3 linked regions of the Astyanax mexicanus genome follow. The protein of the gene in region 2 purifies or fractionates together with the protein of the main gene of each other region. This does not show direct contact. Links are inferred from orthologs where the notes say so. Each region holds a gene or a part of one and is shown on either strand. Other genes may lie near its edges.

What was found.
Region 1: the proteins of dhx15 (region 2) and sf3b3 purify together in Homo sapiens (co-immunoprecipitation; 4 studies listed by BioGRID and IntAct, with this or other methods). This does not show direct contact. The link is inferred for Astyanax mexicanus from reciprocal best matches to the Homo sapiens genes DHX15 and SF3B3.
Region 3: the proteins of dhx15 (region 2) and fus purify together in Homo sapiens (affinity purification with mass spectrometry; 4 studies listed by BioGRID and IntAct, with this or other methods). This does not show direct contact. The link is inferred for Astyanax mexicanus from reciprocal best matches to the Homo sapiens genes DHX15 and FUS.

The regions. Positions count from the first base shown.
Region 1 is NC_064416.1:23,363,805-23,367,556, reverse strand, and holds the start of sf3b3 (splicing factor 3B subunit 3), read left to right. Parts: upstream 1-1,390; 5' UTR 1,391-1,514; intron 1,515-2,087; 5' UTR 2,088-2,140; coding exon 2,141-2,210; intron 2,211-3,011; coding exon 3,012-3,167; intron 3,168-3,364; coding exon 3,365-3,535; intron 3,536-3,752. UniProt on the Homo sapiens protein: Component of the 17S U2 SnRNP complex of the spliceosome, a large ribonucleoprotein complex that removes introns from transcribed pre-mRNAs.
Region 2 is NC_064415.1:27,958,061-27,961,812, reverse strand, and holds the start of dhx15 (pre-mRNA-splicing factor ATP-dependent RNA helicase DHX15), read left to right. Parts: upstream 1-1,256; 5' UTR 1,257-1,377; coding exon 1,378-1,445; intron 1,446-3,752.
Region 3 is NC_064426.1:19,753,741-19,757,492, forward strand, and holds the start of fus (RNA-binding protein FUS), read right to left. Parts: upstream 2,174-3,752; 5' UTR 2,010-2,173; coding exon 1,997-2,009; intron 1,577-1,996; coding exon 1,549-1,576; intron 1-1,548. UniProt on the Homo sapiens protein: DNA/RNA-binding protein that plays a role in various cellular processes such as transcription regulation, RNA splicing, RNA transport, DNA repair and damage response. Binds to ssRNA containing the consensus sequence 5'-AGGUAA-3'.

The sequences.
Region 1 (3,752 bases), on a different chromosome or scaffold from region 2:
GCATAAGTATAATATAAATCCATTATTTAAACCATGCATATACTAGCACTTATTTTGGTGTGTTAAGTGTTCACACATTCAAAAGTCTGCCATGCTCACAGCCAGCCTAAAAAAGTAAAAAAAAAAAATCTATTTATTCTATTATTCTATAAGGTATAAGTAAAACTGTGTAATTTAACAAAATGAACAGCATCAAATTAGATGTTGGGACAGTATGGAAAATGCCATGTTCTCTCATTTACTTTTTATTTTAGCATGACAATATGACAAGCAGTATGAACCCAATATATTTAATGTTTTATCTGGTCACCTTTATTTCATTTCTATATACATCCATTCCTGCATTTCATGCCTAGGAAGAAGAAACCTTATTTAATAATGTGATTTAAAACAGGTGATGTGAACAGATCATATGTGTAAAAATAATTGAAATGTTTGAAAATTATTTTTAATAAAGCCTAAGCTGAAGGCTAATTCACAAATGCCCCATATAATTATACTGTGCTACACAGAAAACTTATGTTATTAGGCACATTTATTTAATCTTTCAAAAAATATGAGTAATTTCCATATTTTACAGGTAAAAAATGAAAGGGCTCAATGCACTCTGCATGGTCAGTAGTAACACTTATTTTTCTCACAGTACCACAGCTTGTTAACACATTTGCAGTGTTTAGATGATTTGACCCATGTTTGCACAGTAAACCACAGTAACAAACAACAAGTACAGGAATGAAACATGTAGTGAGCAATGTTAGCAATGGTATGAAGCAGGGTGTAATTAGTATACAAAGATAAACAGGACAAGCTATGGACTAAGAAAAAAGACTCAGCTTTTTGGTGAGAAATTGCTACTAGTACTCTCAGTGTTCAGTGATCTGTGGGAACTGCTGAAGGAGAGAGGTTTTAAAAAAGGGTTGTGTCAATGGGGAGAAGAAACTGAATTAATTTCCAAATTTGGACACACCTTCTCATTTAAAGTTTTTCTTTACTTCTTTATTTAATTTATTTTCTACATTGTAGAGTAACATTAAATCTATCAAACGAATTAAGGGACACATATGGAATTGCGTAGTAAACAAAAAAAAGTATAAAACATATTCTGGTTTGTTTCACATGTTTTGTTTACAACAAAATCCTGTATAGCGTATGTCTTAAATATTACATTTACAATGTAAAGAATAATTTAAAAACAAAAATATATATTTAAAGAGAAAAGGTGTGTCCAAGCCTTTGACTGATACTTTATATGTGGCTAATTGTTTTATTAATTAATTTATTATTTTTTAAGGATTTTTAAAGCATTTTTTGTCTTTTAAATAAATCTGAAATATGAATTTTGTAAGGCTTGTAGCGGGCTGGACTTTTCAGCAGGCAAATGGCAGGGCGACTATGACACAGGGCTAACAGCAGGAAGGACCCCCGTCGTTCGAGCGGCGTTTGAACACAAAACGCCGAACGAACAAAAAGTTTCTCATCGGGTGAAAATCTGCACCATCCTGCCTGCTGAAACGGTAAAACCCTGGCATACACCGCCAGCGCCAGTTAAACGGCGATATTATAGCCATATATGTGTCATGATGCGGTTTAATATCAAGTTATCTCAGAATTCTGCGTTAGCTTCACTTGCTAGCAGAGGCTGAGCGGGTAACCGGGGTTTCAGGCTGTTATTAACAGCGCGGAGTTTAATAATACTGCAGTATAAAGACACGTTAACCTAATATACGTGCAGTTTTTACGTGTTGTGGGTATTTTATGGGTAAAGTATATACATTTAGTTTAATAAACCAACATTCTGACTAGCGGCTAAGCGAGCTAACCCATTCATTTGAGGTGGTTTAGCTAGCTAATGCTAGCAAGCTTGTAGTTTACATAGATAACTAGCTAGCCAGCTGTGCCCCTAGTAACAGTAGGTTAGCTACTTTTAGTTTATTTTTTTTAAACCTGATCAATTAGGCACGTTAGGTAGATTACATCTGGAGAAAAACAAGACTTTATTAGCTTTCAAAATTTCTCTGTTTGCAGCCCAGAACGTGTGCACTGCTTTCTTCTGTTGATCTCACATGAGGCCTCTTTCTGGGTTTCAGGTGCAGCAGTAACTTTCTTCATCCAAGCCTGAGGGGGCCCAGAGACATCCACCATGTTTCTGTACAACCTGACATTACAACGTGCCACTGGCATCACTCATGCCATCCATGGGAACTTTTCAGGTATACGGTCTTCGTTTTTCCATGTTAAATATGTGATTTGTAATGTTTAACTCTAGAGGTGTAGCCCTGCCCCCACAGGCTTGCATTGTGGGCACTAGACCTGATGGGTGTCTCTCTCTTACCTTAATGTGCACCTCACTCTGGAAAAGGGGGAAATCTGGATTCATCAGACCACATGGCCTTTTTCTGTTGCTCCAGAGTCTTTGCCAGTTAACCTCACTGATGAGTGGTTACACAGTTTAATCCTAATCCCTTGAGTTTCCTTCACATTGTGCATGTAGAAATGCTCTTACTTTCACTAATAAACATATCCCTGAGTTCTAGTAAATATTTAATGGGAGGCACTTACCATTTGCTTATTAAAAAAAAGACTGTACTGGTATGTTAAGATGTTGATCTTATTAATTGAGAGAGTTTGAGACCCCCATTTCTGTCTTTTTTTTTTTTTTTGTTTTTATTGATTTTTAGGTTTTTAAAACTTCTTTTAAAGCAAACATTTTTTTTTTAAATGTACCAAGAATTTGAAAAATGGGAAGTTTCTATATAATTACATTTAGCAATGGTAAAAAAAAAAAAAACTAAGGAACTTTTTCAAACTACTAGGGGTACATATTTTATAATTGGAAATAAATGCCCTTTATCAAATAAATAACCTTTAAATCCTTAATTTAATGTAACTGTTCACCTGTAGTTTAGTTTAATAGTTTCTCCAGAAGGGGGTGGAAGTAGCACTGTTAGCTTAAGCAAATCCACATCAAACACTTTGCTTGCAATTAACTGTATGACGTTCTTTGTCTCTAGGTACGAAACTGCAAGAGATTGTGGTTTCCCGGGGAAAGATTCTAGAGCTGCTGCGTCCTGATGCCAACACAGGCAAGGTTCACACATTGCTCACCATGGAGGTGTTTGGCATCGTCCGCTCCCTCATGGCCTTCAGGCTCACTGGTGGCACGAAAGGTTAGTGTGAATGTTGAAACTGAGTTAGTTTGTTTACAGTTCAATATAATTTTGGGTAAACCAGCCGTAAGATCTTGTTAAAGTTGCTTGCGAAACTAAATGTAAAATTACTGATCAGGTAAATTGCTGATGTGTGGTTTATTCAATGTAATAAAAAAAAATGGTTTGTTTATTGGACTGTGTCTCTTAATTTTAAGACTACATCGTGGTGGGAAGTGACTCGGGACGTATTGTTATCCTGGAGTACCATCCTTCAAAGAACATGTTTGAAAAGGTGCACCAGGAGACTTTTGGCAAGAGCGGATGTAGACGCATCGTTCCCGGGCAATTCCTGGCTGTGGACCCTAAAGGCAGAGCTGTAATGATAGGTAAAATTCTGGTTCTTTGCTAAGTGTTTTATATTTAAGGTGGTTGTTTTATCTGTCTTGGGTTTGAAGAAGCCCTGTGGCATTGTTAGTATGTACACTAACAGCTAGTCTAACACTGCACTTTTGATGCACTTTGATATAAGCTCAAACTAAGGGATAAAGGCCACAACACTGTCTTAAACATGCTTTTTAAATGTGATTGGAAAATACAATGCTA
Region 2 (3,752 bases):
GCGAGGCAGCCCTCAGGGGCGGGTTTATTTAAATGAGTAGGAGCTCTCCACAGCCTTTCTCCCTACTCTGGTCTCTACTGCGCAGACTCTGGTCTCTGAATCGCCAAAATGGCGGAAGATTTTGGCTTCATTTTCATTGAATGAATGGGAACGGCGACACGGCGTCCATCTTTATATACAGTCTATGAGCTAGCCAGTTAGCTTACCTATTCAGGAGAAAAGTAGTAGCTCTGGGTCGGTCTTGTGTCTTTTTGAGCTCTAAGTCTCCACCTTTTAAACTCACTGTCAATATTCACTTTTGTTATATTCCTTCTTTGTTTTTTAAGCTGTGTAGCAGCTGAGGTTAACTGAGCCCACTCTGCTAGCTAGCTCCTTTGCTGCAGCACCGATCGCTGTAGTGTAGTATGGGTCCTAGTGGAGTTAGTGTTGGGGAACGAGCAGCAGGAGGAGACAGAGGACAAAACTAACACAAAACTCAGGATGGAGTAAACACTAAAAATAGGAACGTACGGGCCAAAGCCCTGCTGACAAGAGCTGCCAGTGCTTTAACTCAACATGTTTCCTTAATATCTGATTATACATCCTGATCATTTTATCATTTACTACTGAAAATGAGTTACATATTGGTCCTTTAAACTGATGGACCACACTGATAAACTTGAGCAAACACTGAGATAAATTTAGATACATTTATTTAAAACTGAGGGAACATGCTGATAAACTGGAGGAAAAATGTTTACATTGAGATAAATGTATTATAACTGAGGGAATACTGATAAATAGAGGGAACATATTGATAAATAGAGGAAACAGACTAAAGAACCGAGTGAAAGAAATGTTACTTTGAGGCATTGATGTATTAAACTGAGTGAACAGGCCGATAAACTGGTCGGACGGTTAAAATATAATCTGTATATAATATTTTCCCGCGTTTCTACACTCCAGGCTCTGTCTGTGGGGAGCAGGGCTCGGCGCTGCTCGGCGGGTGTCGGTACTGCAGGCTGCTGGAAGCTGCTGCAGAGGGAAAACGGTAATTTGGCGCTACATAGATCATCCTCCCCGGAGCACCGCTGTACAGCATCCGCAGCGCGAGCGCCTTAACCGCGCTGAGAAGCGCCGCCGCCGCGGGGAACACATGCGGTGTTTTTACTATAAGAGCGGGGTCTGTTTTACTCTTCGCTCTAGAGGCTGAAACCCGTTCCCTCTCTGAGTCTCAGAAATAATAATAATGATGAGGTAAGTGCTTCCGGTCGCCATCTTGTCGCTTAGCGGTGTGTGTGTGTGTGTGTTGGTGGTTTGTTTGAGATATTAATCCGCGGACCGCTTTCCTTTTTTATTTTTTAGTTCTTAACTCGTTTTGTATCCCGTGTTTCTGAGATGTCTAAACGGCATCGCTTGGACCTGGGCGATGATTACTCGTCCAGTAAGAAGAGGTCTTCAGACGGGTGGGTTTAAACGGCGTGTGGATGAAAAACTGCTTCTGCTGCTGCTTCATGTTTGAGCGGCCGCCGCTCGGCCTCTTTGTGTCGGCAGGACAGGCGGGTTATAGACGCAGTGGCAAGACAGGGTGTTATTAGGACGTTAGAGTGTATTAGCCCCTTTATTTGAGCTCTTTCTGTCTGTGTAAACCCGGTGTTAGATGTGAGGTAAAGCTGCAAGGTAAACCAAGAGAGCAGCCGGCTGGTTTCGTGTCGCATCCGCAACGCTAGGATAACGTTAGCACGTGGGCAATGCTAATAGCTTAGTGAACCTATCTGTTCAGTTCATTTAAACCAGTTTAGAGAGTATTTTACATAACATTCATACGAGAAGTCTGATTTTCTCGTTTGTACATGTTTATAGTGAATGTACTAACTCATGCTTCGGTTTATATTCATGTTAAATAGCTATATAGACGCATAACCAGCTAGCCGGTGTTCTGTCGAGTTATGCTACCTTGTCAAACCGTGCTACCCTAGTGTAAGTTAACTTTAAAAATGCAAAAGAAGCACCATATTAGAAGATGGTCCCAGTGAAAGTCTATGTAGAATTTTTAAGAGTATAAATCACTGTATTATTGAAAGTTATGGCAGTGAGAGGTCATTACAAACTATTAATCAACTTTTTTTATGTATTTATCATTATTCATTTTCACGGTGACAGTGAATCCCGGTTGTATAATGCACAAAAAGTTTTTTTTTTTTTTAAATGCATATTTTATATATAAAAAAATGAATAACTGTAGATCAGCGCATGCGTAGTGCCTTTAGGAAGCAGGTATCGATGGGTAGCCTTACTCGACGGAACACCGGTCTTCTCACTAGCTAAGCTAAGCTAGCATGGACGTTGCTTACTCGTCCATTTTCCATGCGGCCTGTGTAGCTAAGCTAACTTAGCTAGCTGGATAATCCCCTGTCCCAGTTTTTTTGAATAGCGTTAACATCACAGCTAGCTGTGTGCAACCCTGCTGTGCGGTTTACTGATTAACCTGCACGCATGATTAGTTAGCCAGTTAGGCAGTTCGTTCGACCTGCGTGTCTCCAGGCACACATGCCTGCCCAACACAAAGCTGGAAGCGTTAGCACCAGAAGCTAAGCTAACGTTAGCATCACATAGCTTACCAATTCATGTTTGCCGCCCGCTCTGTCTAAAATTGAGCTAAAGCTAGGTTAGCTAACCTGACTAACTACGTTTCGCACGCAGTTGATTGAATTATCTCGTTATATTGTTTAACATGTTTTGTTTTAGCAGTAGTGAAGTGCTGCTGCTGCAAAGCTGAAGGGGTTAGACAACAAATGACAGGCTTAATTGATCTAAAACGAAGCGCTAAGGTTAGCTTTCTAGTTAGCCATGTGTGGAGTGTAGTGGGCGTGTTGCTTGATGTCAGGTAACTTTGTTGACTGTTTGTTTTACCTTTTAAGAAATAAGACATTTAAGTAGCTATATTTATTATTTTATACACAGTTTAAATACACAACAAGACAGACATTAGATGCACACATGCCCTTAGAAAAAGCAATGCTAAGCAGTATTACCAATAAATAAATGAATAAGGACGTTGAAGGGGTATATTTACTTAACCTTTTACGTAAATAACCCTTGTTCCGTATAAATGCTACAGGTGTAGATCATACAAAAAACCCTTTTTCTACAGCAAAATAACTTATTTACATTTCTGAAGGCTTTAAAATCTCCTACAGGACACTTGTAGAAGCTGCCTGTTTTCTCTACATGAGTAAACATAACAATTTCAGGGCTTTTTTTTGTTTCAAAGAAACAAAGGCCTCTTTTCCACTAGTCAATAAGTGAGGACACTTTAAAATGATGCACTAATGTGGGATATCTGGGCCAATGCCGATATAGTTACATATTTCTGACTTGCCGAGAGACTTTAAAAATAAATGTTAAAATCGACAGTACGCAAACAATAAAATGAAAGGTGTCACTTTTTAATATTTTGGTTTACATCTATTTAGCTTACTGGTCCTTAGACTGGTCACAGCTTAAAACCTTCTTTTAACATTAACAATTGACAGAATAAATAAAACAGTAGATTATATAAAATAAAAATATAATGTTGAAATAAATTATTTTAAAGTTGTTGCACAGTCAGTGCTTAGTCTTTTTCTGGTATTCAATATATAGCCTACATCAGCAAGTATCAGTTGGAAATATACAGACACCAAACCAATGCTGGTGACTTCTGGTGAAAATCCCTGTATTATTTTAAGGTTTATAATATATACTGTGAAAAATATGCAATGCCATTTTTA
Region 3 (3,752 bases), on a different chromosome or scaffold from region 2:
GAAATGCGCACCCTCTCCGCTTTTAGACTCTTTGGCCCCGTTTTTCTACGCTAGAAATGCGCACCCTCTCCGCTTTAAGACTCTTTGGCCCGTTTTTCTGCGCTAGGAATGCGACCCTCTCCGCTTTTAGACTCTTTTACCCCGTTTTTCTGTTAGAAATGCGAACCCTCTCCGCTTTTAGACTCTTTGGCCCCGTTTTTCTACGCTAGAAATGCGCACCCTCTCCGCTTTTAGACTCTTTTGCCCCGTTTTTCTACGTTAGAAATGCGAACCCTCTCCGCTTTTAGACTCTTTGGCCCCGTTTTTCTACGCTAGAAATGCGCACCCTCTCCGCTTTTAGACTCTTTTGCCCCGTTTTTCTACGTTAGAAATGCGAACCCTCTCCGCTTTTAGACTCTTTGGCCCCGTTTTTCTACGCTCGAAATGCGCACCCTCTCCGCTTTTAGACTCTTTGCCCCGTTTTTCTGCGCGAGGAATGCGACCCTCTCCGCTTTTAGACTCTTTGGCCCGTTTTTCTGCGCGAGGAATGCGACCCTCTCCGCTTTTAGACTCTTTGGCCCGTTTTTCTGCGCGAGGAATGCGCACCCTCTCCGCTTTTAGACTCTTTTACCCCGTTTTTCTGCGCTAGGAATGCGACCCTCTCCGCTTTTAGACTCTTTGGCCCGTTTTTCTCGGGCCACAGTCCGTAATTAAACAAATAATGAAATATACCACTTTAAAAAATAATTTTTCCTGATTATTTCATTTACACACCATTTTACTTGCCTTACTATCTTTATCTTTGACAGTGTTGTGTAAACTAAGATTTTTCAAATTGATGTTTAATTTCATGATGTCTCTTGATATTAAACTCCTTAATTACGGCAACTTTTAGACTCTTTGGCCCCGTTTTTCTACGCTAGAAATGCGAACCCTCTCCGCTTTTAGACCCTTTTACCCTGTTTTTCTGCGCTAGAAATGCGCACCCTCTCCGCTTTTAGACTCTTTGGCCCCGTTTTTCTACGCTAGAAATGCGCACCCTCTCCGCTTTAAGACTCTTTGGCCCGTTTTTCTGCGCTAGGAATGCGACCCTCTCCGCTTTTAGACTCTTTTACCCCGTTTTTCTGCGCTAGAAATACGCACCCTCTCCGCTTTTAGACTCTTTGGCCCGTTTTTCTGCGCGAGGAATGTGCACCCTCTCCGCTTTTAGACTCTTTTACCCCGTTTTTCTGCGCTAGAAATACGCACCCTCTCCGCTTTTAAACTCTTTGGCCCGTTTCTGACACCTAGCGTTCAAACGTTGAATCTCACATTATAAAAACCTGTTTAACAGCGGGCCAGCTTTCATTCTATTACTAAAATACCTCGCGGGTCGCTCCAAAAAAGGAAAAGGGCCGCAAATTGCCCGCGGGCCGCAGTTTGGACAGCCCTGATGTAGAATGTGTTGCTGGTGGTTTTAAGGTGATGTTTAAGGGGGTCTTGGTCTCCTGAGCTGCTGCTGCTGTTTATTATAGAGGAGCTTTAACACCAGCAACTGAAAAACCCCGAGAAACACAGGGACACACTCACCCTCCATGGCCGGCAGTCTGGGGATAATCTGCAGGGATAAGTAAATGCTTTAATTAACAGACAAACACTGATAAATATCTGCACAAACACTCGCAGAAATATCTATAAAGGTAATAACACTAAAATATCGAAGGTTTTGAGCCCCAGGTCTGAAAGTAGGTCAGTATATCACTTTGAATAACAAAATGGCGGAGCCCGACATCTTCTTGTAGGGGGTGTTAGAGAATAAAAGCCTGTTAATAACAGAAACGCTGTTTTCATGCGCTTAAAACTAACGAGCAGTGACTCAAAAGGCCATGTGTATTGTCAGTACACCTGAGGGACTGCAGGCAGATTTTCTGGCTAGGTTAGTTAGCTTAGCTAACGCTACCTCCGTTATCAATGAGAAACGCAGCTTAAGGCTGGAAAACCCGAAACTGAACAGAAACACAGACAGACAGGGACTTACCGCTCGACGCCATGACCAGGTTCACACTTTAATAAAGTGTAAAACGCCTGACTGTGCTGTTATTTTTATATTCGGTGATAAAGCTAAATAAATACTGTGTAGTTCAGCTTAAATTACAGAAAATAGAGCTCCGCTCCTCTCAGTGTGCCCGGCTGAAGTGACACCGGCCTGTGCTGCTCACTGTCGGCCTGAGGGTGGCGCTGCGCACCTGGAAAAAATTAAGAGACCACTTCAGTTTCTGAATCAGTTTCTCTGATTTAGCTATTACAGGTATTTTTGTTTAAAATGAACAAAGTGGTTTTATTCTATAAACTACGGACAACATTTCTCTCAAAATCCAAATTAAAATATTGTCATTTAAAATATGATATCTATATGCAGAAAATGAGAAATGTCTAAAATAACAAAAAGATTCAGAGCTTTCAGACCTCAAATACTGCAAAGAAATCAAGTTCATATTCATAAAGTTTAAAGAATTCAGAAATCAATATTTGGTGGAATAACCCTGTTTTTTAAATCACAGTTTTCATGCGTCTTGTCATGTTCTCCTCCACCAGTCTTACACACTGTTTATGAATAACTTTATGCCATTCCTGGTGCATAAATTCAAGCAGTTCAGCTTGGTATGATGGCTTGTGATCATCCATCTTCCTCTTTATTATATTCCAGAGGCTTTTAATTTGGTGGTAATTAAGTGGTCTCTTTTTTCCCAAATCTGTATTTAACAGATTGTACCATACATGTAAAAACAAAACAAACAAAAAAAAACTTTTAGACACTTTTATTAGAATTTAATACTGCTTCGTGTATCTGGCGTGACCCTCTTGTTCACCAATAACCGCAACTCAACGTTTGCTTGCTTCAGGTCCTGCCACAATATTTCTACTAGATCAAAATAATTACTTTACCTATTAAGTTTATTTCTTGGGGGTCGCTTAGATCAGCAACTGGGGTCGCTCCTTGTCTTGCTGCATGACCCACATTCTCTTGACACTTACTCTTTGCAACCTAGCTATTCACACCATTGTTGTTTAATGTTCTCCTGATGGTGGACCCATTAACATTAACATTGTAAGAGAGCCAATGTGAGCCAATGTGTAAAAGGCCCTTAGTTGCTTAGAAGTTACCTTTGGTAAGCCTTTGTGTTCTCAAAGATCTTTGTCTGTACAAACTTCTTAGATACTATGAAACTTCTTCATAGTTTTGCAACCCCCTCAGAAATCTTGTTTATTAATGCTTGATACACTTACCTTCCATAAACATTTATTGTGAAGGTCAGACTTGTTCTATAAATAAAAGAGGATGCTCACTCACTCCTGATTGTCATCCCTATTATTGAAAACCCCAGACTCAAATTTTACCATGAAATTATCTACAAAACTTAAAAGGTTCACATTCTTTTTCCACTGACAAAGTAGTGTAGTATTTTTTCAGTAAATTCCTGTTCCTTTCAGAGCCTGGAAAACGTTACATAATGAAAGGATACGCTATGGATCTAATGAAAGATGCTAAATATAAAAATACAAATTAGCTAAATCTAATGAGCTAATGAGGTACCTTTACAGAGATAAAAGCTGCAAATAAATAACCAAAAAAATCAGGCAACACTTAAGAATGTAATGTATTTGATTCCTTCATCAGATGTATTCATTCATCAAATGTACATTATCCTGCTTCAGGACACAGGTCCTTCATAAACACTGCACAGCTTAAAAACCTAATTCAACATTGTATAGACTTTTAAGAAGTTAAAAAA